4 linked regions of the Alligator mississippiensis genome follow. The protein of the gene in region 1 purifies or fractionates together with the protein of each later gene. This does not show direct contact. Links are inferred from orthologs where the notes say so. Each region holds a gene or a part of one and is shown on either strand. Other genes may lie near its edges. The genes, in order: BACH1, MAFK, XPO1 and HMMR.

Region 1 (7,269 bases):
GGCTACCAGCACTGCTAAAATAATCCATTGTGAACATAAAACAGGGGCCTTTTCCTGGTGAGCATGGCCCAAGAGTTATGTCAATTTTTAGTCCACAGTATGAATCCTTTTTACTTGGAATTGCTTCTTCCCGTCAATAAGTCTGGAGACGGGAATGAATAAAACTTTTAGCAGACTTAAAATAAATGTCCCCTGGATTGTAGTTCTTCCATAGTGGTGTTTTCTTCTCAAATGTCATATGTGACAATTGAAAAGGATAACTATTCAGTCAGTCCTGCAACGCAACTTGTTCAATTTTAACAGCTCCCATAAAGTGGCTTGCTTCATATCTGGGCTTGACAGCGAACAGTTATCAACATCAGTGGGAGAATGAAAACTACTGGTCATAACAGATAGGAGGGTATACTGTATGAACTAAGATTCAGAATAACAAAATGTTGCTCTAAATGTATCAACTTTTGACTAAAAGAAAGAGATAATATTCTGCTGTCATGAGATTAATATAAGGAAATAGCTATCCTTAAGTCTACTTATCCAAAATGACCCATGTTATTTTGTAGTGAAACTTGGATAATGCCTCTGAAATCCATCAGCCAACTAAAACAACTAGTATTATAATGTGTATTAAAACACTCTCTGTCACCCTTCCTTGTCAAAATTAAAGGTCCAGAAGTTTGGTAAACATAATCTTCCCATGCATTTAGTAAAATATCATTCATGACATCTGATTCTGGTTAGATTTAAGTGCATTTTAAATATGCTTATGTAAAAATATCATTATCTTTGGTAACTATAGCCACTGATAAAAATCTACCTAATTAAAATGGAGGAGTTTTATAATACTACCATCTATGAATAAAGCATTTTAACAGATGGAGTTCCTTAACAGATGGAGGAAATTGCAGCTCAGTGAAAATATTTAGCAAGGTCACAAAGACTTCTCTAGAAAAACACCAAGGACAAAGGTGTTGGCAGAGGTATCCCATCGGTGGTAATGCTAGGATGGGACTCAAGAACTCCTGGTTCTACAACCTGTGGCTGACCCATATGACAATCTTTTCTTTTTGGTGGCTTTAAAAAAAATCATCATTCCTGATGAAAATGAAGTCTTAATAGAAAAAATAAAAAGCAAACTATAAGAAATAAAGACAGTAATTATATAGATAAAATTCCACAGCTATCAAATTAAAGGACTGAATTTGCTTTCATTTAAGTCAATAAATACCTCTGAATCCTGATTCCCCCATCCAGTCACATACTTGAAACTGTCCTTATCCTTATTCTGCAGCACATTTTTGAATGAGAGAAATATATCCCCCAATTCTTGGAGTAGGACATGAGCAGCTTATATCTGTATGCTCCTTTATACCATAGGCTCTTTGAGGAGAAAATTGTTGTGCAACCCAATCTCACTTTTGCAAAGCTAACCTAAGCAAACAAGTTTCATCTACTTCAGTCTATGCCGTAATATTCTTAGTTACAATAAGTGACTCTTATTCAGCAATACGAACTCATTTTACAGAACACAAAACATTTAAGCTCTTTTAAGAATACTAGTTGTGTTATAATAGCAAAATGAAAGGAGCAGTATTTGGGAACATGGATAAAATTGATGTGCCTGGTATGATAACAATAGAGAAAAACATACTCCACCTGAGACACTGTCCCCCTTTCACTTGTAAATCAGTAGCTTTGAAGGAAGCCTTGGGTTGTACAATAATCAAACCTGTTTTTGAAGCTTTTTCCATCCATGTGTACAACAGAAAAATCAGGGGTGAAACTTCCCAGACAAAGTAGAGATCACGTAGTGAACTATGCAGAAATGCCAAACCAAACATGCCCTGTGGTTGCAACTGTGCCTTATCTGTGCTTCCTTGTGCCACTCTGGGCAGAACTGGTGGGGCCTAAATAAAGACATGGGGGAAAGTTATGAGGTGACCTTACAAAAATAGACAGCCTAAATCTTCCTCAAATAACAAGAAATAATGTCTGAATAATTATCTTCTCTGTTAAAGAATGCTAAGATTACAACCAAATAGTTTAAGGCAAGAGACTAGATAAGCATTAGGAAAATCCAGGTGAATTCATCAGATTTCAGTGAAGCTGATATGATAACTGATAAGTAGACATGAATTGAGGCCCTTTGTCATTTGCAATTGAAAAAAAAATGGGTAGCTTGGTGTATAAATGATACCCACCGCACTGCATGCAGGTAGAATGAACCAATTACTAATCCCACTATGGCAGAGGATCCCCTTAAAACTTAGCCTTAGGAGTCCTGACTGGAAAGTAAAAGGCCTGTGACTTTTAGGAGTAGAAATTCAGCTAACACTGTATCTTCATAAAAAAATCTTTAGAACATTTCCTTATAAAAATCATAATTATACAAATAGTGAACAATGTTCCTTCAAACGTCAGTACTTTTTTTCTTCTTCAATAATGCTTAGTTTCAAGTCTCTACTTTAAGCTGTTTCTTTCAGTTATTCCAGGTACAATCATTTTACCCTGAAAATAGAGGGGACTCCCCCCACCTCTTCACCCACAGCTAACGTTAACTCAACACGATGGACACATCTTCCTCAAATAACTCAGAGTAGGCCTGAGACCAGGAACAGACATTCTCGTGTGTGAAAGCAGTATGAGAAAGTTACAAGCAACAGAAAAAAAAGGAAGGCTGGACAGAAAGAAGCAAGAATTCGGCTATAATTCTGCATTCACAGGCCATGATGGGAATCCTGTAATTCAAAATAAGGCATAACTAGTACATTATGTTTCATAATTAGTACATTATGTACATTAGTACATCTCCCTAATGATGGAGATGTACTATTATGTTTCTTTGCACTGTTACTCTTCTTAACAACCACCACTTTTCACTTGGGTTCAGGAACCAAGATGCTACGTCATGCACTGCATTTGTAGGGTTGGTGCAGGCAGGTTGTAGTCAAAAAACTAAAGATTCTCAGCAGCTGTATAAACTGTTTTTATTCTTTAAAAAAAAAATGTTAGAGCAGATGGATGACCTTTTAGGGCTGCTGTTCATTCCACTTGTTAACTCAAGATACCTCAGTAAGTAAATAACACCCCCCCTAACTCTAGGACTCTAATACAGCCACTCAAGTGGCAGTGGGTAGGGCTGCATCCACAGCAGTATTCCTGCTTCTTCAAGCCAGCATAGCCAGGTATTAAATATTAAATTATAATATTGGAAGCTCAAAATTATCATATTTTCTGAAAAACGATTGTACATTGAACAAGTATGAAAATAAGCATGCAAATAAGTTTTATTTACTTTGTATTGCTCCGTGTAACTCGCAAGTGAGTGAGTGAGAACTGGGTCATCAAAGTTGAAGCTTTTCTTTATTTTGAGGTAAGCAGTCATAAGAAAATGCTGATAGCACATCTGAAAATGGCACTGCATAGGGGAGGGTGCACCCTGTCCAGTGAACAGGACACCCAATGAGGCTTGTAATTAGCTTCCCATGGGAGGATCTCGGCTACACACCAACTTTATGGAAATGAACAACTCCTCCCTAGCTTGCTCCTGTGGCCTTTGGTTAAGGGCAAGTGCTATGCGGGGGCATCCGAACCCCAAGCCTCCAGGCCTTTGCCTGCATGTGGGATGCCCACCAATGGATTTGGGAATATCTGATGCTTGCTGGTTGTACGGTGTATGATGCTTGAACGATTTGAGTGTTGCTCAGTCAAGAGGATTCGGAACCGATTCTGCTTATTTGACCTGAAATACAAAACAGTTCCCCCCCAAAAAAGTATCCAAAAATCAGCTAAAGCTTCACTGAGAGTGAGGTGGGTTTTGCATATGCTGCATCAATTAGCTGCCTCCAAATTATCGTCAGCTTTGAACACTGATCAAACATCATACCTGGGTTGAAATGATTGGGCAGATATGATCATTATCATAACTCTGGCAACACGGCCTCGGCGTCCCATGGCAAAGACGTTTTATGCCAGCCCCAGCGGAGAGCGGCTGCGAGCAGGCGAAGGGTAGCAGGGCAGCTACCCAGCACGAACACTACAAGTCAGGCTATGTATGCTAGGAGCTCCTCCAGTGAGACTAGGCCCCGCCCCTCTCAGGCTGGTGGGAGGGGGGCGGAGAGCGGGGTCCGTCCCCCGCCCCCCGGTGTTGGTCGGAATGCGCATGCGCGGCGGCGGCGGGCTTTAGGCCTCAGAATGTCACTCAAGATAGCAACGCCCAATCAGCGGGCGGCGGGGGCGGGGTAAATGGTGGCTGCGCTGTTTGGGGGCGGGCTGGTTGGTCCTGTTGCGGGGAGTCATCTGACCGCTCTCTCCGCAGTCGGGCCACAGCCTGGACTGTGCGGACGATCAGTTTGGGGCTGTTGCTGGAAGAGGAGGAGCAGCAACTCAGGTTTGTGGTGGCTCGCGGGGAACAGCGGCGGCTGCCGGCAACGAGGTGAGCGCGGCCGGGCCCTAGCGACGCGCACTGCCCGGTGGGAGAGGCGCGCACCGCCTCGCCTTCAGTATTCGGGGGCTCGTGGGTGGACGCCGCCTGGCCAGTACCATTCGGGGTCCCGCAGGGGGGATGGTGTCACGTGATGCCCCCCCAGCTCTGAAGCTTTAGCCTGACCCAGGTCCCCGCCTGGGGGCGCCTGTGTGGGAGACACACATAAAGGCGCTGCCCGTAGGGGGGGGTGTTTCTAGGCTGCAGGAGCCACGAGGGGGTGGAGGTGCGCTTTGGGGTCAGGGTGTGAAGCGGCTTCACCTTGGCATGGGCATTGGAGCATCTGGGTGCAGCTGGGAATTTGCTAGGGGCAGGGGGAGGGAGTGGGGCTGCTTACCCACAGGCTTGCCCCTTGGCTTTGTTTTGGACCCAGGCATTGAAGGAGTCTTTGGGAAACAATCCTAGAAAATGAGTGCTGGAAGGGACCCCAGGAGGTCCCCTAGTGCAGCAGCTCTTATCTTGTGGTCACCACCCAAAAGTGGGTGGCAAGAATATGTGAAAGGATCATGAATAAACTTTAAAAATAGATTCTCCTGTAATGGAGAAAAACATGGGAAACTGTGGCTTTTCCCTTGCAGGCTGGCTGCTTGGAGCCCCTGATGCCCCACACATCCCTCCACATGCTGGGGGGTTGGGGCTTGGGTTGAGGGGCAAGAGGTCAGGAGTGAGCGGTACCAGCAGGATCCGGGGCTGTTTTCTACTTAAAGTTGGGACTGACCATTGATGACTACAAATGGGTCCTGATATAAAATAGGTTGAGAACTGCTGACCTAGTGCAACCCCCTGCTCACAGCAGGACCTTCCCCAACTAGATCACCCCAGCCCAGGCTTTGTTGAGCTAGGCCTTCAAAACCTCTAAGGATGGAGAGTGTACCACCTCTCTGTTCCAGTGCTTTACTACTCTCCTCCAGAGGAAGTTTTTCCTAAGATCTAGTTTCAACTTCCCCTGCTGCAACTTGATTCTGAAATCCAGTTGAGGGTTGGGGATGCAGAAGGCGTTGGGGTGTGTGGAGTCCTGGGAGAAGCGGGTTGGTCCATTTTTTTTTTTTTTTTTTTTTTTTAAACTAGTGGAAGAAAGTTCTCCACACAATGCATCGTTCAAGTGTAAACTCCTCGCCTCCTTCATTTGAGCTTCATTTGAGCTTGGGGCTCCTCACCATCAGGAGCTGACGCTGTAGCCAGATTCAAAATGGGATTGCAGCATGGGATGTTGTGGTTAGATAGGAGGAAAAACTTTCTCCCCAGGAGGGTAGGAAAACACTGGAATAGGTTATGAGAGAGGTGGTAGACTCTCCCTCCTTGGAGGCTTTTAAGACCTGGCTAGACAAAGACTGGATTGAGATAAAAGATTTAGGGACGGTCCTGCACTGAACAGGGGTTTGAACTCCCGAGGTCCCTTCCAGCCCTCATTTTTCTACAATTCTGTAAAATTCTTGGTTGAAAGGGGCCTCAGTGGCGATTGAGTATGGAAGTGAGGAGCACAGCCTCTGAACCAAAACTTTTTCTAGACCCTGAATGCTGGAGGCTGCAAGTGAGAGAGGAACAGTTGGAGGAAAAGCCCTGGTCATAATCTGTTCTCTCTCCCTTCCAGCCTCTGCTCTCTGCCCATGTGACATGGCCTTTTGATATGCCATAATGTGACACGGGCCAAAGCCCACCAACTAGAGCTATATTGCAGTAGGGATTTGACCCCCACCCCCTTTGGTGATGGGGGCCACTATGGGCATATCGTTGATTATTTGGGATAACTGAAAGCCAAAACAGGGATGGGAATGAGGGTCATAAGTTCAAAATGAGTGAACTGAGGGGGGACACCAAGGAGACCACCCTGGATGTATGACACAGGCCTACTTGTTGCCTTAAAGGAATTGTGGGCCAGTGCCCACTACGAGAAACTAAAAGCCTCCCTTATAAAGGGAGGCCACTTTGAAAGCAGCAACTCATTCCGTGGGAACAACTGAAAACATAACAAGGACAGGAGCAGGTTCAAACTGAGTGCACAAGGGAGGGCACTGAGGAGAGCACGCCAGATGTGAGAGACAGGCCTTTTGACATGCCACTGGGGAATCATGGACCTTGGGCCACCAAATGAAACTATAAGCCCCCCTGCCACTAGGAGCATGTCGCTGATTTCTTGGGACAAATGATAACAAAACAGGGATGGGGCTGGAGGTCAAAGGTTCAAGACTAGTGCACTGAGGGGGGACACGGGGCAGAGCACACTGGATGTGCGACAGGCCTATTTTTTGCCTAAAGAATGCAGGCCAGTGACCACCAGGAAACATTATAAGCCTCCCTTAAAAAGGAGGGCCACTAGGTAGACAGGAGTGAGGTCCAAAGTTTCAAATGAGTGCAACAAGGTGGGATACGGAGCAGAGCACGCTGAATGTGTGACACAGGCCTATCTGCCACTTCAGGGGTTTGTGGGAGGAATGCCTACCACGTGAAACTAAGGCCCCCTCAGAGAGGGAGGCAACAGGGAAAGTGGCAGCTGATTGCTTGGGATAAATTATAACAAAACAGGGATGGGAGTGGAGGTCAAAGGTTTAAAATGAATGTGCCAGGGGGGTATAGTGGGATTTATTTGTGACGGGATCCTTAGCAGGATGGACTTATGGTCTGATCCAGTGAATGTCAATTCTTAAGTTCTTAAGTGCAGTGGTGTGCAGGAACTGCAGTTATGATAGATGGTACTTGTCCAAGAGTGAAGTAATACTATACTATTTATTCTTTAACTTTAAAATCATATTTCAGATTTTTGTCCCCCCACCAAAAATTGACCTTGGTTA
Region 2 (7,978 bases), on another chromosome or scaffold:
TCTTTAGTATTAAGAAGTGCTTTTGTTGTAGTGATGTCATGTTTTTAGACGAAAATGATCCCCTGGCACTCTTCCCAATACCTTTGTTCACCTCCCCTTATCACTGTCAACATTGTCAGGAGAATCCGGGACAGAATTCCAAGCTGCGTGGTTTTGGTTTGGCACCACTGATAACCCCTACTAATTTTCTTAGAGGCAGCTCAAGACAGGGGAGATAGACAGCCCTAACTAGTGGATAGAGGCAGGAGTGCACTGCGATGTGAGATGACTTGCAAGGAAGAAGAGCACAGTAGACTACATCAGTTTTTAAATAGCACTCCTCACATGCTGGGGCTCCCAAAGCACTTTACAAAGCAATGCATTAGTGACAGTCATAGCTGCTACCTCACAGCAGGCATGGATGCACTTGTGAGTAATTTGTACACAGCCTTGAACATTAAAACCCATTTATCCCAAAATGGAACAGTGGCCAGGACAAAATTATCCAGCAGAAAGCCCCATCAGCGTTTAGCTTCCATTCAGACACACGCGAGACGGCAAGGACAGCAATGTGAAGATGCACAATCCTCAGCCCAAAAGGGCCAATGACCGCTTTTCTCCTCCCTAGGAGCACTGCCATGCCAGGATGGTTGCATGGTAGAGGTCTCTCCGTCTTGTACAACTCATCACATCAAGAATCTCCATTCTGCCCAGAGGCTTAAATCAGCAGTACTGCCTCCAGCCAGTCCAAAACACAGTGAGACGATTTGTAAGGCAGCTGGTCAGCAACCTATCCACACTTCCAGTTTACCCACAAGCTACTTGGCCCTCTTTCCCTTTCTTAAGGGACATAAAGGCAAAAAGTTTCAAAAGACTGGTGACCCTCCACATTCAAGCTCCAAGCAGCCATCAATGAGCGGTCAGATTATTGGAGGTTAGGCAGCAAGTCCTGGTTCCCGCTGCTGCCAGAAGCCTGAACCTCCCACCCTCCTCCTGGTCCACACAGAGCATTTCAACCCCGAAAGCAGCACACACTTACCCAGATCTTACAATCGCACCGCCACACACCAGAGGAGACACCCGCGAGATGGTCACATCAGCCGACCATTTCTCCAAAGCTGGCCGCGTGAATGTGGCCACCAAGGAGGACATCAGGTCTTATAGGTGAAGGGAACTGCAGATGCTTAAGCCCCAAGCTCTGTGCCTCTGCCCCTTGGAGACCTGACATGGATTTCCAACACGCTGCAGTGTGAAATGCAGACAGCACCATCCCTCCCATCATCCCCGGGTCCTCCCCCTGCTTCAGCAGTCCTCATGCATTCTGCAAGACAAACTGACACTTGTCGTTCATCTGGATGAAGGGAGGGTGCGGGGGGATGCTGATGATGTGAATCAAGGAGACAGCAAACACATGCAAAGCAGTCAATTCTCCATGAGCCCAGAGAAGAGACCAGGGAGGGGTGAGTCACTGTTTACTTTCTACACACTAAACTCGCCCAGCTGGCCAGCTTTCCATTTCCCTTATGGATCAGAACCAGCATCCACCAGCAAAGAACAGATTCAGGAACCTTCAGACAGAATTTGAGAGCTGCCGGGACACGACTCGGAGGCTCTCTCGGGGGAAGCCTGGACAGGGATCAGACAGTCTTCAATGCTTTGGTAAACAACCTAGTCAGATGCTGCAGAGAGCCTATGGTTACAGAGCGGCCGATTCAGGCTATCATGAGAGTGTGCCTGTGTGTCACATTACAGAGACCTTGGACTTACAGGGGGGGAAGAGGGAGGGGGAACGGCAGCTACTGAAGAGGTCGGATACACTGCTCACAGCTTCAGACACAGCAGACACAGGGCAGCGCTCCTCCCCACAGTGCGTTTTATGGAAGTGATCAAACGAAAATACACTGCAAAAATGAGTTAAGTCCCACATCACCATAGCACAGAAAAAGTACTTTTGTGACCTGGGGAAATCAAGGTAGTACGTGGTCAGCGATTTCTATGGGGCCAAGAGGCAGAACTGAGATGAGGGCTTGTGAATTCTCCTGAGCCCCGTGGACTAAGTCCAACCTCCACCTCCATGTGAATGTGAATGATGACAGACATGAGGATGGTTATTCAGGCACCCAGACTGCGAGACAGCGAAGCGTGCTGCAGGATGCGCCCAGTTTTAGAGCTGAGCAGCAGGATAATTGCTTTCATTTACTTAAAAAAAAGTTTTTTTGGCATCCCAGGCCCACAGTGAGACAGCCTTCCAAACAAGAGAGAAGCAGCAAAAAGCGATGCAGCAATATCTGCCCGAGTTTGCAGATAGCCTGAAACAACAGCCCAGAAAGGAGCATAAACCGCCTGCGCCTCTTGATGGGGGGCTGAGCCTGAAATTCCCTGATAATTGCAAGCGTCAGCACTGCTGGAGAGTTTCGCAGCTGCATATTTACTCAAACGAGCTGCAAGCGCACTTATCCCACCCGCCCTGACTGCCTGCCATACCGCCTGGGGGGCCAAGAGCTCCAGCTGTCCCTGCTTCCCCTCCCAAACATCCGACTGTTACAAAGTTTCAGTGCAAAACCAGGGGGCTTCAGAAAGCCATTATAAACACTCGGCTGCTTAGGCTTTATTTCATTCACCATTAAACTCTGTTAGTTATTTCAAGCCAGACACAGGTTTAAACCACTACCGCTGCAACAGGTTGGGGAAAGAACATAGGTGAAACTTCCCCAATATGAAGGACCTCTTGTAGCCTTACTTAAAAATACTTCTTGAGGTTGCATATGAATTACCCCAAGATCATTTAACACAGCTAGCCCGAAGTGCAGGAATAAAGCCCCAAAGTCTAAAGTATGTGGAGCATCTTGCTAACCAAAACCCACAAGCCCTCTCCCTGCTGTAACCATCTCCTCCCTGAAAAAAACATCCTCCATATTGTCACCAGGATAGGTACAAACAGGGTTAATCCTCCCTCCCCTCGGTGCTGCCAATGCTAGGCACGGCCATTGGATAACCGGAGCATCCATCATGTTTAGGAAGTGACTGCGGGAGGAAGGTTACTCTGCATTACAGTGTATACACGGAAGAGACAGAGAGCAGGGAGCAAGCACCGGCTCCATCAGTGAGCAAGCAGCAAGGTAAATTCCCTCCATACTAAGCCACTGCAGGACCGCGGCACAGCATGTTGGCTGGGCTGGCGTGGGAGCAGGGGTGCCCCTGCCTGCACATGCCAAGCGCCCAGGGACCGAACCTCCAATAATAAGACGTGCAGCTTTGGATCTGGTGGCACAGGGGCATTTTGGCTTCTCACCTCTTTGCCTTCTCCCCGGCCCCCAGAGCTGAGCTAGGAAGGGGGCAGGAGGGCAGAGAAGGAATGGCAGCTTTTCCATTTCCTGCACTGCCACTTTCCCCAAAGGGCGCTTGCTCCTAAGTGGAGCTGTCCCGGCCTGCTTTCCTCCAGGAGCTGGAGAACGAGTCCCCTCTCCTCCACCCCGCACAGCCCAGGGAAGCAGAGTCCCAGCACCCCTTGGCCACAGGAGGAGGAGGAGGAGGAGGAGGAGGAAGGAGCTCTCTCTCCAACTGACCATGGCATGTTTCTAGAGTTCAGACATGTCTCACTTCCCCTCCCTCGCGGCCTGGACATTTCTCTCACTAGTGCCACTCCTTTGTCGGGGGGGAAGGGAGCAGAAGCCAGGCTTCTCCACCCCCACGGAGCTAACATCCCACCCCACCACCCGCTCAGGGGGAGAAAAGCGGTTCTCAGGAAGCCCCACCCGCCCTCTGCGGAGGGCGCGGTCTCGAAACCCCACCGGTCTACTTGGCAGGTGTCCCCTCCAGCAAGCCACCTCGTCCCCGGCTGGCCTGCGTCCCCACCGGCCAGCCAGGGACCCCTCCAGCACGGCCCCTCCTCGGTCTGCCGGGCCGTCGCTCCCATCCCTGCCACCAAGAAGTCACTTGCTCCATCGCTCTCCCGCAGCAACGCGCCCTCTGCTACTATCCGCCCGACGCAGGGCGACCCGGGCGCGTCTCCGAGCACGGCGCGCAGGGCACAACCGGGGACCCGCTGGCTCGTTTCCAGCGCCCCCAAGGTCCACCCAAGCACAGCCGGGGTCTCGCCGGCCTCTCGAGACCCAGGCGGACCCCGGCCAGGCAGCATCCCGCCCCTTCCCAAACCGCCCAACTTTTGTGCAACAGGCGAGGGCTTCTTCAGGCCACGGGGGCCAAGCCCTGGGGACCCTCCTCCGGAGGGGGCTTCTCCCTGGTACTGAGCCCCCAGCCCGGCTCCGTGCTCCCCCTCCAGCCCGGGCCCCGCGGCCACGTGGGAGCAGAGCCCCGGGTGGGGCCGGGCGCCCCGTGCTGAGTCACGCGGCGGGGCCGACCCCGCATCCAGCGGGCCCAGGCCACGTGCGCCCCGCGCTGACTCAGCGGCTCGGCTCGGCCCGGCCGGGCCCGACCCCCGCCCCGCTCCGCGCCCCGCGCCCCCCTCACCCGCGCGGCGGGGCCGGGCTCCGCAGCCGCCCTCCCTGCGAGCCAGTCCCGGGAACAACAACAAGCGCGGCCCCCTCCCCCCCCGCCCCGCACCGGCCCCGCCCCCCGCGCCCGCCCGCCCGGCCAACCAGCGCCCGCCCCGCTTCCGGGAACCACGCGTCACGGCTCGCGTCGCGCGGCCACGCCCCTGCCGGCGCCGCCGCGTCACGAGGCCACGCCCACGCGGTTCATTCATGTGGAAGGTAGGGAGAAAGCGTGAGGGCTCTCGTGATTGGCGGAGCGCGCGCGCGGTCGGGCGCCGTGCTCATTGGCGAAGCGCGCGGGGCTCCCGGCGGAGGGTCGTCGGAGCCTCTGCTACACTATTCCCTGGCTCGTGGCGGGGAGGAACCCCCACCTCACCTCCCTTCCCCCGGCCTGTTCCTCCCTGCCTGTTTCGGTTTCAGTTTCTTTTGCTTTGCAAGCACTTCCTCCTGGAGCCGCCCCCGGGGGCTTTTGCGCAACCCGCAAGGCCGCAGAAAAAGGCACGTGTCCAGTTGCCACATCTGGGCGAGGGCAAGCGAGGTCCCTGGGAAGGTTCCTGGGAAGAAAGAAGCAACCTCCAGGCTAGGGCAGGCGAGGAAAGCCGCAGAATTGGCGCTGGGACTTGCTGGTCCCGTCTTCGTCTTGTCGCCCACCTCCCGCGTGCAGAAGTTGTGACCCCAGTCACGAAAATCACCTCCTTCCTAACCTAAAGGCTTTGGGGTTTTTGGCGGATGGTTGGTGTTTTCAAATCCTTGGTGAAGGAAGGAAACATCTGTCCTTAAAAGCAAAAGTTTCCCGGTGTCTGCTTTCAGGAGCCGGGGATTTAACCGTTCGTTGGATATTGCGACTGGCCAACGAAATCCCGAGTTGTGGCGGCGCTTCCTCGTCGCTGAGCGTCGCGTCGACCGTGCGAGCAACATTTTAGACCCCCGAGAGCACTACGTCTTCCCAATTTTAGACCAGGGTGAACTAGCCTAGACTTTTAATGAAAAAAGATGCAGAGTTTTGTATATCGACACCAGGCTTTTAGTCTCTCTGTGATTAGGCTTGTGACTATATTTGAACTGAAAAACTACCTGCCAATCTAGGCCAGTGGTGCTCAGCTTGAGGGCCAAAGATGTCATGTCAAAGATGTCAAACATCATCAATATGTTGAGCCAGAATCTCTGTCTCGCGCCACCCCCTTTTGCACAGCTCGGGTAGTGAAGGGAGCAGAAAATCCTGCTGGGATTTTCCCAGTAACAAGGGGAGGTGTCAAGCCAGCATATCTGGCTCCTTCATGTTCCTTTGAACAGCCCAAGGCACAGGGGAGGGTGAGAACAGCAGGGAGGAAATGTGGCTGGACCCTTAAGTGCTCCAAGTACCCTCAACTGGTAGGATGGTTCCTGTAAAGACATAGAAATAGCATAATTTAGAGCACCCTCCAGGCTACTCTAACATTTGCTGAGGCAGCAGATCAAGGAGTCAGAACTGGCTATTTATTGGCTTTCATTTCCTGCTCCTTTTTCCCTTTTTCCAAGCAGAGCTGGACGCAGGCATGAGCGAACCGGGTGGCTGCCCAGGGTCCAGACAAAGAGGGAGCCCAAAAATGGGGAAAAAAATCACAATTGCAAAAAAAAAGTTTTAATATTGTGCATATATGGGACTGGCAATGTTGTCAGTTGAGAATGAACTATTTAAATACATCAGTACCACAAATGTGATAAAGACTTTTGCAACAACAAAAAAAATCATTATCTTTGGCGAAGGGGGCCCAATACTCAGAGCCGTCCCTAGGGTACAGTGGATCGGGGCGACCGTCCCAGGCCCTGCACTTTGCAGGGGCCCTGCGGAGCCGGGCGGAGTGCCTGCAGCCCCTCCCATGGGGCCTGCCTGGAGCTGGCGGCTCAGCCCTGTGCCGTGGAAGAAGCACGGAGAGCCACCCCTTGCAGGGGTACCATGACCCCATGCAGTGTTAAGGGGGCCCCGCACAGGCTGATTTGCCTTGTGTCCTGCACCACCCTAGGGTTGGCTCAGGCAATACTAAAAGTTTGGCCAGGACCACCAGGCGTCTAGGTACAGCACTGCTCCCAAGCAGAAGTCGTGTCCATTTGGAACGGAGAGAACCAGGCTGGCTAAAGTTTCCAAAGCTCTAAGGCCCAGGTGCCAATGCCATTGGTCTTCATGTGTCCCAAGGTTATGCACCCTGTTAAAACCCTGCGGTGGACTTTCCCGCTGTGGACTGCAGTCCCAGGCGTGGGTGTACCTGATGTGGACGCACACACCTAGGGCTCAGAGTTCAAGGGCAGCTTGTAGCTTCTTTGTGCCCACTCACAGTATGGGGCCAGTAATGCTGGGTTTATTCCTTGTGGCTGCTTGAAGTTAGCATGGAGCAGAGAGACAGAGCTCCCACATCCAGAGTGAATATCAGATCCCAGAGTACCTTGGCATGGGGGATTTTTAATACCAGGTTGTCACAGGATAGGGGAAGGCAGCCTGCAGTATGGTTCTGGTGTAGTCACAGCTGGGTTAGAAAACCGTTGTCTGGTGTTGGGTGAGAGCCATGCCTGATCACATTAATAAAGGGCTCAGTTAAAGGGGCAGGGCTGGGTCCCTGAGCTTGGTAAAGTTGCTCTGCTTCTCTGGAGAAGCCCACTTTAGCCGGCAGCCTGCTCAGGTGGCTGGGAGAGGCTTTTCCATGTTGTGGCCAGTCTGCACTTGTAAGCAACAGGGTTTTTTCAGTGTGAAATTACACAGCTAGTGGTGGTGACCCATTCACAATAGCTACTTCTTTCTGGCTTCTGTTTAGTGCACGTGGAAAGGGCTGTTACATTTTTCTGGTGAACTACCTCCTGTTGGCTTTCATTAATAAGCAGAAAAAAGCTCTCCTTTCTCTGTTCCCCAGTGAATGTAACATAGGGTGGGACCATTTGACAAAATGGTTGGTGGGATGTAAGATGCAAAAGGTTGAGAACCGCTGGCCTAGGGGGCCTTGAACAAGCCCCTGACCCAGTATCATCTGGGAAGCAGGGATCATAAGACTTATCCAGGTTTGTAATGAGCTTTAAAATCCTCTTTACAAATTCCCACTGTGTTTGGACAATGAAGAGGACCCGGTAACCATCGATACCATATTGTTGATTATGGAGTTTATTAAAACTCTGGCTATAAACAGAAAAGGTTTGGGTAGAAATAACTTGAACTTCAAGCCGCATGCAATACGGTAGGATTGATGAGCTGCTACTAGGCAGAAGCGGTAGAGACTCCGAAGGGGCTTCTCTCAGGAGTTTTACGGTATAGCAGGCAGAAGTGCTGCAAGCTGGGAGACCTCCCTGTCTTCCCGCAACCACAATGTCAAGAGGAGACACGTGTATGTAAGCTGCTTAGGACCCAAAGGATCAGGCCCCGGGGGCAGCAAAATAGCGGTGCAGAGAGGAAAGGCTCGGTGATTTGGGCTGAATACCAGAGCTCAGCATGCCTGGGCAGGGGGGTATTTTTAATGCCACCGCAGGGATCCGCGTCAGTCACA
Region 3 (7,967 bases), about 77 Mb from region 1:
ATTAATGCAAACATGACAAGCACATATAGTTATGTTTATCACCTTGCAGTCAAACTAATTCTACCTAGTACCCTGTGGTCAAAACTAGATCCAACTAGTTTAGCACTAAAACTTGTCCACTTCTATGACCATTTCCTCTGCCTCTGGACCCAACTCACTCCTAGAAAGGATCCTGCAACCTACAACAGGGTCTACTATGTGTAAAAGTTACTGGTTTCTGAATGACTAAGAAACAGATTTAGGCTTTCCACATTTAAGTTTTAAACTCAAAGCTGAACACAGCCATACACCTGGGATACAGTTTAAGCAACTGCTGCACAATATGAAAAAAGATCTTGCAGAAAAAGGCTCATTCAGAAAGCCCCTCATTCCAATTTATATAACTAAATAATGCTAAACAGGTTTTCTATTTATAGATAAAACAGAATACTACTACTTAAATACCAATGAGAAATATATGAACTTTGCTTTAAAATCATGAAATTCATTAATTCAGCATGGTGGCAACACATGAATATCATCGTTCAATTTTTAGTTACATTTTTGCATCGTTAGCATTTTTAGTGTAAATGCCAGCATGTATAGGACAAGTTTATCCAGAAAGATATACACCAAATCTAAAAAAAGTGGCTTATAGACTTCAAAAAATCCTACATAGTTGTCATGTTTTTCTCTGGATTCCACACCTCCTTTAGGATTATACAAAGGACAGATACAGGAGTGTAAAATAGGCTGAATAGTACACAAGCACACTGACACGCTTAGTTCCTTTTAGCTCTGGAAGACTCCCTCTCAACTGTACCTCAGACAAAGCAGTAAGTAGTATTTAGTAAAAAAAAAACCAAAAAACAAAACACCAAACCAAAAAAACCGCCCAATCGATTCAATCTTTAAGAACAAATAACCCCCCTCTTCACCCAAATGCACTCAGTCAGACACACCCCTTTCAGTTTGCATCTGCGCTCTCTAACCAGGGAACAGGGTAGCCGTTTTTCAATTCAGCCAACATTTAAATCAACATATTCCACTAGTAACCACATTTATTTTAAGTTTAAATCTCCTTCAACCACTTTAAAACAAGTGGTAAAAACACACTTCATCTTCCACGTGACTAAGGAAAGTTAGCCCCACGGAAGCAGAAAGGAAATGTTCGGATTAGAGCTCTTTGCCACTCCCAGCATTATCTTCAAATGACCTACCTAGTCTTGATGTGAAGTACCGAAATGGCGGCTTTGTGGTCAATGCCAGCCTCCCTCTGATCAACTTGATTCCTTACTTACTCCTAGCCGAAATGATTACCTCAGAACTGTAACGTTTGATTTACTACACACCACCTCCCCACATGAACCAAAGCAGAGTTTAAGCATTACCTCCAAGTGCTGCACTAGATTAACTCAAAACACTCCTAATAAACCTGGATACTGACAGCAAAACAAGTAAAGGAAAGACAACTAAACAAGTCAATGAAAAATGAAAGTAGGCCACATGGAAAGAACCAGATGTTTATAGAAGCCCAAAAGAATGAGCCAACCGTTCATGCAGTGGAGCCAAGCCTGAGCAGCCTTGCAGAAGTACAAAAACACTTGTGCTGAAAGCAAAGTCTGTGGCTACATAACAGATCTGCACCCTGCTTCTAAAAGACCTGGGCTGCTGGAATAGGGTGCACTTCCAAAGAGCAGGGGGAAGGAAGGATAACCTCTAGGTCAAATTCAACTCTACAAAAGGCGACAACTGCTTAAGGCTTGGGGGGAAACAGTAATTTCATTTAAGCACAGGGCTAGCAGAAAATCCCCACCACGCCCCATTTTAGGCTAGGAAGTGGCCCAACCTGCAAGGACAAGTCACATGTGAAACCACCCACCCACCCACCAGGGGTGCGAATAATCAGCTCCTTTCCATCCCGCGCACACAAAATCCCTAATAAAACTCTCCAACCGCCTGCATGTGCACACGTGCTGGGGGGGGCAGGGATTCAAGCACACAGGCCACCAGAAAGCAACTTTCCAGGCAAAAAGCCGCGTGCGCGCCCGCCGCGTGGCTCCAGCGCCCTCCAAAGCAAGAGCCTTCCGCTTGCAGCGGGAGCTCCCAGGCACCCTCCCCCCGCCACTGCAGCGCGGACACCACATCCCTCCTTAAACACATCATGATTATCGTTATTATTTTGATGCAAGCCCCCCCCCCCCTGCGCGGGCGCGGGCACGGACGGCAAGGCCCGGCGCGACGGCGGCGGCAGGGCCACCACTGCAGCCCCTCCCTCCGCCCGAGCCGCGCGCTCCACACAGGCCCCCACGTGACGCGGGGGGACGTTTCAATCCTGCTGCACAGACACACGAAAATATTTCTGGAAACTTCCACTCCTAATAATTTGCAGATCCCGACCCGCCGCCCCCTCCCCCCGCACCCCACCGCTTCCCGCCAGCCTCCCTCAACCCCTCCGCGAAGCCCGCGGCCGCCCCTGCCGCACACGCGCCTCCTCCCCCCCGCGGCACTCACCCGAGTGGAGCTGGCAGCCTTTGAAAATAAAAAAAAAAAATGAAGGGGGAAAAAAAAAGGGGAGGGAAAAAAAAAAGTCGCGGGAGCCGCCCCGCGCCTAGGCCGCTGCTGCCCCGCGGGCGGGCGGGTGGACGTGGGTCCCCGCCCGCCGCCGGGAGGGCTCGACTGTGCCCCTGCTGCCGCCTCCGGGCCGGGCTGCGTGCGCGGGGCTCCCCCCGCCGCCTGCGCGCCGGGCCAGGCCAGGCCGGGCCTGGGGGTGCGGGGCCGCGCGCGCTCACTGCGCCCCCATGTCCCTCCCCCCGGAGCGGCGGCGGCTCCGCAGCTGCGCTCGGCCTCCCGGAGCGGCGGCAGGTCCCCCCCACACACACAGGCACACGCGGTGGCGGAGGCGGCGGCGGTAGGGACTGAGCGCGGCGCGTCTCCCCCTCCTAGTGCCACAGGCTCGGAACCGGCTCAAACCGGTTCAGACTGGGAGATTCCATCTCGGTTTAGTTTTCAGCCCATGGCGCCGCGGAGCGTTTGGAAACCTCGGGCCTCCGCCCAGCCGCCACTCCCATTGGCTCCCGCCGGGGCCGCCGCGCAAGCGGCTGTGCCTCTCATTGGCCGGCTGGCCTGCCCATCTCTTGCGAGGCTGAGAGGGGAGGGAGGGGGGAGGAGAGGACCCGCCCCCTCCCCAGCAGTCATTTGAGCGCGCAAGGAGGTGGGGAGGAGGGGAGTGGTGCTGCTTTCTCACTGGCCGCGCTGAGCTGTCGCTCAAAGAGCGCGAGCCCGCCCCCAGCTCGCAACCCCGCGGGCGCGGGGGAAGGGGGCCTGTTGCTGATTGGCTGGGCGCTTGGAATGACGTAGAGGTAGAGAGCGGCGCTTTTTTTCTTTTTATTTTTTCTTTTTTTTTTTTAATGGCGGGCTTGTACGAGTGGAGTGGGGGTGCGTGATCACAAAGGCGCGTGGAGGGAGGGGCGGTGCTTGGCTTTGCCTTGGGGGGAGGGGTGGGGCCCCTTGGCGTTGCGCAGCGGGGCAGGGTAGCGCGGTCTGTTCGCCGCTGCCTGCCTGTCTCGGGGTGGAGAGAGGGCTGTAGGAGCCCGTTGCTCTGTAGGAAGCGGGGTAGATCCCTGGGCTCGTCCCTGCAGTAGCCTCAGTCCCTGCAGCTGCAACCCATGCTAGGAGAAGGTCCGTGCAAGAGGTTGACTTGCAAACCCGTTTCTGTCCTAAGAAATAAGCTCAACGTTTCCAGACAAGGTTCTTTGGATAAATGTGATATCTTGTATTAGGCCAACGCAAATAGTTGGAAAACTTCTTTGCAAGCTTTCGGGTATAAATACCCTTCGTCAGAATGAGGAAGCCCCTGCAGCTGGTGTACGCTCTTTCTGGAGGGAATGGATAGTAAGCCAGAGGCTGGTGTGCATGCAAGAAAGGCCGTCAGTTAAGATGCAAATCGAGGAGTCAGTGGGTGATTTTCTCATGAGAGAGAGGAATGATAAACTCTCCTGAGCACAAGGTTTGAACCCTCGCTTGGTGCCTTCTTGGACCTCTTTGATTTGGGTTTTGAACTGTCATGGCACGAGTTGGGCTTCCACATTCCCTGGCATTTGTACCTGGGGTTTCACTGTCTTGGTCATTCTTTGAAGAACCCGCATAATCTCTAAAGCGAAGTACTGTTACCAAAGGCAGATGTAAAGAGGGATTATTTCTGTGTTTCGCAGCATTTCTTGCAGATGACACTTGGGAACATGGTGTAGTGACACTGGAAGAAGAAAACTTGTGCATCTTCATTTATGCACTTTTGTATGTTTTTCAAAACTGACCAGGGATTTTGAGATGGCAAATTGGAGACACTCCCCACCCCAGAAGTCTGACTCTTCAGGATTACCTTCAGAAAACCAGGGTTTTCTTCAGAAAACCAGGGTTTCCTAAAGCAGGGCTGGCCAACCTGTAGCATGCATGCTACAAGTGGCATAGGCCACTTCTATGTGTAGCATATAGGGAAAGGACAGGCAGCATGGTGGCAGGTAGGGCAGGGAGCAGAAGGCAGAGTAATAGATCCAGTGGGGAGTACAGGCAAAAAGTAGAGTAGAAGTTTGGTCAGAGAGCAGAAAACTGAACAGCAGATCAGGTAGAGGAAAGATCAGAGTGGCTTTCCAGGTTTACGTGGCACACCTGCCCAAAAAGTTGGTCCTCACTGTTTTAAGGTGTCTTAAAATACCATCCCCAAATCAAGTGATTAGTTGTCTTGGAAAGATTACGTCTAATAAGCTTTTTCCTCTTACATGGTATGGCTGTCACTCTATTCCTAGTAACTTTTATAAAATGAGGAGAATTCAGCCAATGCTTAGTTAGAGATGATAATTTTTTATTTAACTACATTGTTCCAGGCACTTCACTGGTAGTTGGAGTATATCGCACACTCACTAGATCCTTTAGAACTTACCAAGATTCCTCACCCCGTCTGGAAATAAGCATTATTTCCATGAAAGACTGTATATAAAATATGCATATTCTACATCTGGCTATATATTGGATAATGAATAAACTAATCATCATCTTACAGTCAGTCATCAAAACAACATAGTCCAGGGAAGAAAAATTGTAACAAGATACTGAAGAACATTAACAAAAATGTTTCTGCGAGAACCAGCTAGTTCTGTTGTTTTTACAAAGTGAAAAATGTAGAGATCATACAAGTGTGACATTACTAAATGGTAGAACAAGTTAACAGGTGTTTTGGGAAGAGTCTGGTGCAGCACCTGACATCACTGCATATACTAGTCTATCATGTGTAACTGGCTGTAGTGTTTCTGCAGAGAAGCTTAATTTAGGCTACTTGTATCAGGTCTGTCAAGCAGGTTTCTATGGTTTGATATAATTTAAGAGGAAAAGAAACTGAAAGGCTTTTGTTTTTTAAAAAGAAAAAGGTAAGCCCTCCATTCCCGACTTTCCAATATTTACTATCTACAAATAAACTGTAAAACATAGAACTGTGGTTAAAGTGACCCCATGCTCCTCCACCAAGAGCTATTTTCCATATCTGATTGTCCCTGTGTGTATTTGCATCATATCTAGTTCATTGTCTTTGTGGTTTTCTCCATTTCCCTGAGAGAGGCATCCAGGAGGCCTGTTACTTAAGCTAAGGTAAGTAGGCTGTGATATATAAACATCATGGCAACCATGTGTTGGTTTTTTTTCTAGTGGTGCACCAGTAAAGGTTTTTTGGCAAATACCGATAGCCAATTATTCACCAGGCATAATTATTCACCAGGCATATTGGCCAATACCAATCTGATAATTGATTTACAGGAAAGCAGCTGAGCAAAATGGAGAGCAGCGTCCTGCAAGTAAGTCTGTGGAGGGGAAGGGGCAGACCGAGGCCCCACGGTGAGGGAGGGGGAGGGTCTGGGATTGGGGGTCCTGCCCAGCCAGAGCAGTGAATGGGACCCTGGGGCTTGGGCGAGCTGCAGGACAGAGCTGTAGGTCGCAGGGCAAGGTCAGGAGGGTGGGAGCCCTGAGACCTCAGTGGGCAGCCTCCATCTGCCCTCACCCCGCACACAAATTCAGGGGGGCATGTAACGGGGCCATCATGAGGCCAGTCCCGATGTCTGCCTGCCCACCTGTCTAGGACAGTCTGCCCCATCTCACCTGTCATGACTTGAAGTATTAAACTATATATTAAAACGTGGGAGGCAGCCCATTTAGTGTCCCAATGCCTAGGGTGGCTTAAGTCTCCTCTATACAGTGTCCCATACCTCACAGATGTCATCCAAAAGACTACGCTCCAAGGTGCTCTGCCACAGGGCACATGCCCCCATTCCTCCCCCAAAGGAGCCACCCCCTTCTCCCCCACTCCATGCCCCCTAGACATGCCACCCACAACTCCATCCTGCTCCCTGCCCGAGCCTTTGGTCCTATTAACTGCTCTAGCTGGGCAGTGCCTCTTGCCCCTGCCCCACTCCTTCACTGTTGGGGCCTCAATCTGCCCCTCCCCATGTCCCTTCCCCTCTAGAGACTTAACTGCAGGGTGCTGGTCTCCACGCTGCCTGGCTGCATTCCTGGCCACATGCATGCTGCAGCTGCATGCACGCACAGCATCCAGGACCCCAGCCAGAAGACACATTATATTTATTGATACATTGGCTACACCAGCCAAAAAAGCAGATAGCCGATGATGTTAATTTTCCTTTTATCAGTGCCGATCTGATATGGCACTGATATATTGGTGCACCTGTTTTTTTTTTCCCCCAGTTTGTCTGAAGACTTTAAGATGTCTATAGTTGTAAAATAACTTCTCCCTTCCCTCCTGTCTGCCAGTGCCCCTCATATCCCCAGCCCATGGCTTATTTAGATATGTAGTTGAGCTGTGAGTTGGTTGGATACAGGAGTAATCTGCACGAATTGATAGTGGACAGTGACAAAGGCACCCATACAGGGTGATGTGCTTTCCAGAAAATGTTATTTTGAAGCATTTATCTGAACTAATTCTGAATGGTAACACTAAATAAATAGACTGACATTAAAAAGAACTGTTGAGATTATTTGGACTTCCTAAACATTCCTTATTTCTATACTTTGCAGCTTTTAAGTTATTTCTTAACTTTGTATTTTTCAGCAAATCTTAAAGGCTTTTTTCACTTCTCTCCCTTAAGTGGACGTATATTTTCAGTCTTACCTCTTCTCTAACAAAGTCTATTTCCTCTAGAATTACTTTAGGTATGTGCTTTTAAATTTAACGAAGAATGCTAGTAACCTTATCAGCTGGAACAATTTGTTTCTATAAATTATGCAAATTTAACTGCATTATAGATGACAGCTGTTAAAAGTAGTATATATATATATATATATCTTTGTGCACTGGAACTTCACCAGCTTTTCATCAAAGCTGCGCCTGAGAACTTCAGCCAGGTTAGTTCTACTAAAGAACTTAAACTGGCAGGCTTGAATAGATCTAAGGAAACTGTCTGCATGCCCCCAGAGTCTGTAAAGCCAATTCTGCTGAATCCATGAATAGAAATATATAATTAGTTTTTCTTCAGGCTGGTTCTGCCAAAGACTAAAGTCTGTGTACTCATTTCATTGTGCTAAACACTTAATCCGAGTAGAACTACTAGCTCTAGAACACAAAGTGATTATGATATTTCAGTCTTGAACACTAAAAAGGACTGTGATGGAACTATTAGAGTTGTAAATAACTGATTTTATGCATGATGCCTCCAGAGAAAGATACTTGTTCCCAAGGACAGGCTACTTGAAAGAACTGGATTTTTTAGCTGAGACTGTTTTAAGTGCCAGTTGAAAAAATGAAGCACCTTAAAAATGGAAAAATATATTTCTTTCTCCACTTCTCTTAAAAGATCTGTATGGTTCATCTCTAATTTAAATGAGCAGCTTTTCTGTAGCATGGGTTGATAGGCAAAAAATCTTCAGCTTTGGGTATTTTTGGCCAGTTAAAGGGTAAGGTATCATAATTTGGAAGTTTATATTCAGAA
Region 4 (7,259 bases), on another chromosome or scaffold:
ACCACTAGAACCAAGTCCTACAAGCATATCCTAACTCTTTAAAGAGGGAATTTATATCTTGTAACTTCCCATCTCCATCACAAGCAACAGCAGTTAAAGAACTACTGTGGTTGAGGATAAAGCATTACACTGTGGTAAAGGATGAGTGAGAAACCAACAAGAAAAACAGTAATTATATGCCCCATGTTTCTTGAAGAAACTTTTCCCAGACTAATTATTATGCCAGTACAGTAAAAGCTGCCTTAACCGGCACCTTACAAGCCGGCATGCTGGCTTGTAACGTAAAAGCGAAACCGGAAGTGCCCACCATGGCACTTCTGGTTTTGCCAAGCCCCCATGGCCTGGGGCATAGTAGCTTGCATGGGGGCCGCCCTCACTGTCCCTCGGGGCCTGTGGGAAGGTCAGCAATGCGGCGGGAGGGTCTGTGATGTGGCGGGAAGGGCGGCGGCCCAAACAGGCAAAGACACCTGTTTGGGCCTCTCAGTTAACTGGAATATTTTGTTATCCGGCACCCCCCATTCCCCATGGTGCCGGATAACAAAGCTTTTGCTGTATATAAATAAACCGTGCTGGTTATTTTTTAAATTAACAGTTATTCCACTAGAGAATTCGAACCCAATTTTTCCAGGGATTTCTCTTTCAGCCTCAATCTATACATTTAGGTGTACAACTCATGCTTCATACAAGTACAAGATTAAGTTATTTTATCTAAGTCAATTACAAGCTCTCTCCTCCACAGCATGTGACTCCTGATCTTCCTATCAACAGACTAGTTAATTCCCATTAGTTTGGCATAATGTGTATTAAGCACTTTTGCACAGGGAGAGTCAGACTAACTGTATTTTACATTTCATCATTTTTTGTTAAATTACATGCCAATCTTATGTCACAGCTGAAAAATACACTATTGAAGAAAGCAGAACAAAAAATAAAAGTATGTGCCTGTTTTTCAAAGCCAGATTTTTAAAATACAGTGAGATGCAAACAAAAAATGTCTCTTTTCAATATTTCATTTTAAGCATATTCGTACCTAATGTCCATGTCCCTTCATCAGCTATTGTAGAGTCAAAGAGTTTACCCTGAAAAAGAATTATAACGTTACATAAAACTGATACAATTTTTAATGCTAATGAAAAATACCAAGAAAAAAGCAAGTCTGCTTTCAGAGGAAAACAGTCATTGATTTATGCTGTATCAAAATTTGAGTGTTGCTACAGTTTGAGTGTTGCTATTAGTAATTGCTAAAATAGTTAATAGCAACTAAAAATCAGGACACAATGCCTGCCTTCCATATCTACAAGAGCAAGATTACAACTCAGAGTACAGACTCAAAGATATTTTTCAATTTATACACTTCATCCTCATACACAACAACTTCACTTTCAATAACCAACACTTCCTCCAGACCGTAGCACAGCTATGGGTACCAAAATGTCCCCACAGTATGCCAACCTTTTCATGAACTACCTAGAAGAAGAATTCCTCAAGGACTGCACCATCAAACCCTTGCTATACTTAAGATATATTGATGACATCTTTATCATTTGGACTGAAAACTTGCAATTGATTTTTTCATCAGAAATTCAATAATCATCTCCCCTCCATCAGGCTCTCTCTGGAATACTCCAATACCAGCATTTCCTTTTGAGACATGATGGTCACTATCCAAAATGGAAAAATACAGACCACCATATACAAGAAACCCACGGACTGCACTGAACCATTAATCACCCTAAACATACCAAGAAAGCTGTAATATACAGCCAAGCTCTCCGATACCACCAAATTTGCACTGAGAACACCTGTGATCCTCACCTCACACATCTCAAAAGGCTTTCACATAACAAAGACACTCCTCCAGAGAGATAGACTGTACTTTTGAAAGAGCCATCCGGATACCACATGAAGAACTGCTGCAGTACTCCCCATAAATCACACACCACTGGTTATGACATATCATTCCTCCCTGGAACCTATATGGAAAATTCTCAAACAATTGCAACCCATACTAGAAGGAGACCCTATTCTTAAAGTGATCTTCCCAGAACCACCCGTTCTATCATTTAAACAAGCACCAAACCTTGCCAACCTCATCACCAGAAGCAAACTTCCTATGACCCAAAACATGGTGAACGGATCCACACCATGCCATGACAAGAAATGTAAAACCTGCCAACGCATCTCCACCACCCCCACAACTACTACATGTCACAATAGAACCATCAACATTCCAGGATCTTAGACCCGTACCTCCGGAAATGTTATATATCTCATCCAGTGCACTAAATGCCCTGATGGAAAATATGTAGGAGAAACCAAACAACAACTGTGCACCAAAACGAATGCACACCGAAAATCTGTCAAAAAAAAGAATATCAATTACCTGTGGGTGCCCACTTCTCACAAGAAAACTATTCTCTCTCCAATCTCAGTTCTAATTCTCAAAGGGAATTTACAAAACACCTTTCACAGATGAGCCTACAAACTTCACTTCATCAACTTACTGGATACAAAAAAAATCATGGATTAAATACAGACATTGGATTTGACACATTATAACCTGCCTAACATTCAACTCTCCAGGTAAACCCTCTACTTTTTACCAGCTATTCTCATTCCCTTCCCACCTCCCCATCCTTTGACTACAGCTACATTCATTCCCCTCCCCCCCACCTGTCTCTTACCCACTGACCAACCCAATTTACATTTTAATTGACTGGCTTTCTTGCATACCTACTGGCCTCTGGCTGCTTTACCACTCTATCCAGGAAGAACACAGACCATCTGCAGACGCTTCCTCTGCCTGATGAAGGATAACTGTACCCGAAAGCTTGCAAAGAAGAATTTTTCCAACTATCTGAGTTGGTCTAATAAAAGACATCAGATTTACCCAAAGTACCTTGCCTGCCTAATATTTTACAATGCTTTTTTTATAACAATACCCTTCTTATAGTTAAGCGCTTAAAGAGAGGGACTTTGCCTACATATCCTACTTGAAACATTTAGCAGGCTAGCACAGTACAGACACTTCAGAAGGAGAAGCAAATGATACAGTGTTAACACTTAGTTCATAAAGCCCTATACCGGCTGTGCTCTACTGGGCGCCTACAACAGTGGGTCAGCGCACGGGCCTCATCTGGAGTGAGTAATGCTTCACGGGCCCTTCAGCGCTTGCAGGGTTGTTGCCAACTGAACAGAAGGGAGGCAGCTACACCCAGGTCACATACTTCTTCCCAGTAAGGTTTCTCTATCTTTGTTTTTCATAAGTCCGGTGGGGAGGGGTTCAACCCTGTTTCTGGCACAAGTCAGCCCAGGCTGTTTCCCTCCACTCCAAGCAGCGCTTACTGAGGCCGGGGCCAGAGCGCTGCGGCCTCCGGAGCTTCGTGAAGGCTGCTCGCTCCCAAGGCACCCCCTGCCCGAGTACAGTGCCACAGTATGGGCCCGTGTGGCCAGGAGGGGGTTCCCCCTCTCCCCACACAGATCCTACAGCTGCTGTCTGGGAAGCTGTGTGGCGTGGTGCGACGGAGCCTGTGGAGCTCTTCGGGAGCCTACACCGACCCCGTACGGTTGTCAACTCTGTTTGAATTCATTCCGAGAGGTTTCTGAACATCAACGCGCCCGTGACAATGCGAACGTGCCCATGTGCTTGTGTATATCAGCTACTGATTACAGTGCACAGACTTCACACCAGTAAGGCAAGCGCATGTTACTATTACATTTCAAAAACCCACTGGGATACTGTATAAAATCAGATTCAACATTGAATATTTATCTGAATGAATGCCCTATCATTGATCTCCAGGGTGACTCTCAGCAGCCTCCTGAAGATTTGTATCTCGTTCCCGGAGACGCGAGGGCAAACCTGGAGAGTTGGCAACCCTACCGCCGGGGCGTCTCCCACGGGGCCTCCCTCCGTCGCGGGCCCGCGGTACCTGGAGCACGTCCTGGCCCTGCACGGAGAGCGCCAGGCGCTGGCTCTGCAGGCAGCACCGCACGTCCTTGGCCCGCGTGCCCGGTGGCACCTGCACCTCGATGAACACCTCCTCCAGCGTCTGGTACCAGCAGCCCCAGGGCGTGGCGCAGGGCACCACCCCGCTGCGCTCCTCGAAGGGAGCCGACATCCAACCCCGCGCGGCCGCCCCCTGACACCGGAAGTGGCCAGACGCGCAGGCGCACAACGGCGCTAAGCCCCAACTTCCGGGTGGTTTCCTGTGCGTGCTCCAGCCGGCGGCAGGAAGGAGCGGCGATTGGCCGAGCGGCTCACAGGTCGAGCGCTGTGATTGGGCGCCGGGGTTTGCTGGGAGAGCGGTTAGGCACTTTGAATCCGGCGCCGGGGTCGGCGGTGGCTCAGGTGCGCCGCGCTCTGCTGCGGGGCTGTCATGTCCTTCCCCAAGGCGCCGCTGCGGCGCTTCAACGACACCGCGGGTGAGTCCCGCCTGCCGGCGCTTGCCTTGCCCGCGGGGTGAGCGCGGCCGCCTGCAAAACTGGGGGAGCCGGGCGGGGTTTGCTTTCCTCCGGTTCTTTTTTCCTTTTATTTCACTGTACCCGTCTCCCCCTTCCTGGCAGGGGGCGCGGCGCTGCCCGGGTTGATTTCAGATCCGTCCGCTCCTCCGTGCCGGGGGACGGTGGCGTTGTAACGTGCTCCCCAGTCGTCGGGGCCGGACCCGCTCCGCCTCCTTCAGCTCCTCCTCGTGACCCCCAAGCACTGCCCGGCGCAGCCTCGCTGCTGCCGCCCCACAACACGGCACCCCTAGAGTTTAACGTGTAGTTGTAGGGGCAGGTTGGATGGGGATGATCGGGCTAGTTGGACTAGCTCGATGGTTCTCAACCTATCCAGTGCTATTTGTAAACCTCAGTGGCCAGCCCTGACCCGCTGTCCCAAACCCCCAGTGTGGGGGAGTGTATGTGGGGGCGTGGGCAGCAGCCTCTTGAAGGCTGCAACAGTGCCAGCCTGTAAGGGAAAAGCTGCAGCTTCCCACGTTTCTCTCCTTAAAAATGGATTCTCCTTTAAAAGTTTCTTCGCAACCTTTTCATATGTTCTTCCGACCTGCTTTTGGGCCACGACCCACGGGCTGAGAAACACTGGACTAGATGATCTCTGGAGGTCTCTTCCAGCCCCGCTTCTCTGTGATGCTGTGACTTGCCTGTGTTCTTTTATTTGTGCCTTGCTCTCGCAAGAGAGGAAAATTTTTCAACAGGATGAACTTGACACGGGCGGGGGGGACACATGACATTTTAATTAGAGCAGCTTCAAGAGCCACTCTAAAGCACCCACAGCATCTGATGTATTCAGTATCCTGCACTTCAAAATAGCACCAGTGGCTCTAACTAAAGCTCATTCGGGCCATTTTGATGCACGGAGATGGTGGATACGCAAGACGTGGAGGCTGCTGGAGTAATTCCAGCACAGTAAAAGCAGCATCTCCGCACATCTACAGGCACCCGAAGGGGCACTGAATACATTTGTTCATTGTGGCAACCCATCCACAAACTTAATTCTCTCCCTGTCAGGTTATTCCAGTGTTCTCTGCTGTGCCAAACATCACTGTCATTTTTTTAACTTGCATCCCATTGCTAGGGTCCCATGAAGTCGATTCCTCAGATGCTGTAAAAGGCCCTATGATCTCTGACAAATCCCACTTCAGAAAACAGAAAGGTAAGCAGTGCCATGGCTTGACACTTGGCAAGCTTTGGAAGTTTTGGAGATCTTGCAAAACAGAAATTGTAGGTGCTCAAATGCTGCTGCTTTCCTTTTTTTAGTGTTTTGAGATTTTTCAGTGTTTTGCTTTTTACTCCATGATGATTGCTGATTATTAGAGGGCTGCTGACAATTTGAAAGTATGCTTCTTTGTATCTCTTTCCCTGGTGGCTTTTCATGCATCTGCTTCACTGATTTCTTCCCACCCTGCCTCCACCACCCCTTAGTGTAATGTGTTTGCAGTAATTGTTTTTCTTTTGAAGTTATCACCTCATTGCAGTGTAGCAGTGTGTGAGTATGGACAGGGAAAAATAAAACAACACTTTTAGAATGGACTACCTGTTGGAAGGACCGATCTGATTCTTGTAGTGCCCAGACGTATAAGGCTGGTGTATGCACTTGCTGAATGTAGACTAGTAAAAATAAGTAGACTTGGGATTTGAGGTGGATGAACTCAAAAAATATGTCCTTTCCCCTCCCCCCCCCCAATGGTTTGCTTCTAATCTAATTTGATAAAACTTTCTGTTCAGGGACAATGGAAAATCAACAGAATTTGAACAGTGAAAATATGCCTTCTCCCACACATAGAAGAAAGTTCCTTTCTCTTGGAACAGTGGTAAGATTCTATTTGCTATGCCAAAGGTTCCCAAACTTTCTTATTGTGTACCCCCTTCCAGATTTGCCAACTGCCTGCATACCCCTACCAGCATATGTTTTAATCCCTTAAATGTTAATTATTATTTTAATGAAAATTAAATCTATTACGCAATTTTTCCCATGTACCCCCCAGAGATGTCTTGCATATCACCAGGGGTATGTGTACCACAGTTTGGGAACCCCTGTTCTATGCCACTATTTGCACTGTTGCCTGAGTAAGTGGGTGACTGGAGCTGGAGAGCTGCATGCTTCTTCTTGGGAAGGAGCAGGCAATGAACAGCAGTTCAGGTGCTGCTTCTCTTTAGTGTGTGGGGTGTCTCAGAATACCTAGCCTCTGTGCCCCTAGAAGCATAGGTCTAGGAATAGAATCATAGACAATTTAGTTTGGAGGGGACCTCCAACCCCCTTGCTCAAAGCAGGACCATCTCCAACTAGATCATCCCAGCCAAAGATATGTCTAGCCAGGTTTTAAAAACCTCCAAGGATGGAGTGTCTGCAACCTCTCCGGGTAACCTGTTCCAGTGTTTTATTACCTTCCTAGTGAGAGGTTGTTTTTTTTTCCCAAAGATCTAATCTAACTGTCCCTTGCTGCTCCTTGTTCTGTCATCTGCCACTACTGAGAATAGTCTAGCTCCATCTTTTTTGGAACCAACTTTCAGGTTGTTGAAGGCTGCTATGAAATCCCACCCCAGTCTTTCTCTTCTCCAGTTCCCTCAGCCTCTAAATAAGCCCAGTTCCCTCAGCCTCTCTTCATAAGTCATGTGCCTCAGCCCCTAACCATTTTTATTATCCTCTGCTGAACTCTTTCTAATTTGTCTACATCCTTTCTGTAGTGGGGGGACCCAAAACTGGACACAGGTCTCCAGATGTGGCCTCGGCAGTGCCAAATACAGGAAGAGAACCA

Evidence for each region.
Region 2: the proteins of BACH1 (region 1) and MAFK purify together in Homo sapiens (affinity purification with mass spectrometry; 6 studies listed by BioGRID and IntAct, counting the BioPlex papers as one, with this or other methods). This does not show direct contact. The link is inferred for Alligator mississippiensis from reciprocal best matches to the Homo sapiens genes BACH1 and MAFK.
Region 3: the proteins of BACH1 (region 1) and XPO1 purify together in Homo sapiens (affinity purification with western blotting; 3 studies listed by BioGRID, with this or other methods). This does not show direct contact. The link is inferred for Alligator mississippiensis from reciprocal best matches to the Homo sapiens genes BACH1 and XPO1.
Region 4: the proteins of BACH1 (region 1) and HMMR purify together in Homo sapiens (affinity purification with mass spectrometry; 6 studies listed by BioGRID and IntAct, counting the BioPlex papers as one, with this or other methods). This does not show direct contact. The link is inferred for Alligator mississippiensis from reciprocal best matches to the Homo sapiens genes BACH1 and HMMR.

The regions. Positions count from the first base shown.
Region 1 is NC_081824.1:289,797,671-289,804,939, forward strand, and holds the start of BACH1 (transcription regulator protein BACH1), read left to right. Parts: upstream 1-4,253; 5' UTR 4,254-4,387; exon of another isoform or gene 4,388-4,432; intron 4,433-7,269. UniProt on the Homo sapiens protein: Transcriptional regulator that acts as a repressor or activator, depending on the context. Binds to NF-E2 DNA binding sites. Plays important roles in coordinating transcription activation and repression by MAFK.
Region 2 is NC_081836.1:50,335,731-50,343,708, reverse strand, and holds the start of MAFK (transcription factor MafK), read right to left. Parts: upstream 3,003-7,978; 5' UTR 1-3,002. UniProt on the Homo sapiens protein: Since they lack a putative transactivation domain, the small Mafs behave as transcriptional repressors when they dimerize among themselves.
Region 3 is NC_081824.1:212,302,482-212,310,448, forward strand, and holds the start of XPO1 (exportin-1), read right to left. Parts: upstream 3,001-7,967; 5' UTR 2,862-3,000; intron 2,512-2,861; 5' UTR 2,494-2,511; intron 1-2,493. UniProt on the Homo sapiens protein: Mediates the nuclear export of cellular proteins (cargos) bearing a leucine-rich nuclear export signal (NES) and of RNAs.
Region 4 is NC_081832.1:56,347,404-56,354,662, reverse strand, and holds the start of HMMR (hyaluronan mediated motility receptor), read left to right. Parts: upstream 1-4,243; 5' UTR 4,244-4,379; coding exon 4,380-4,425; intron 4,426-5,578; coding exon 5,579-5,656; intron 5,657-6,228; coding exon 6,229-6,314; intron 6,315-7,259. Other genes in the region: NUDCD2 (nudC domain-containing protein 2), read right to left, coding at 1,031-1,079, 3,933-4,121. UniProt on the Homo sapiens protein: Receptor for hyaluronic acid (HA). Involved in cell motility. When hyaluronan binds to HMMR, the phosphorylation of a number of proteins, including PTK2/FAK1 occurs.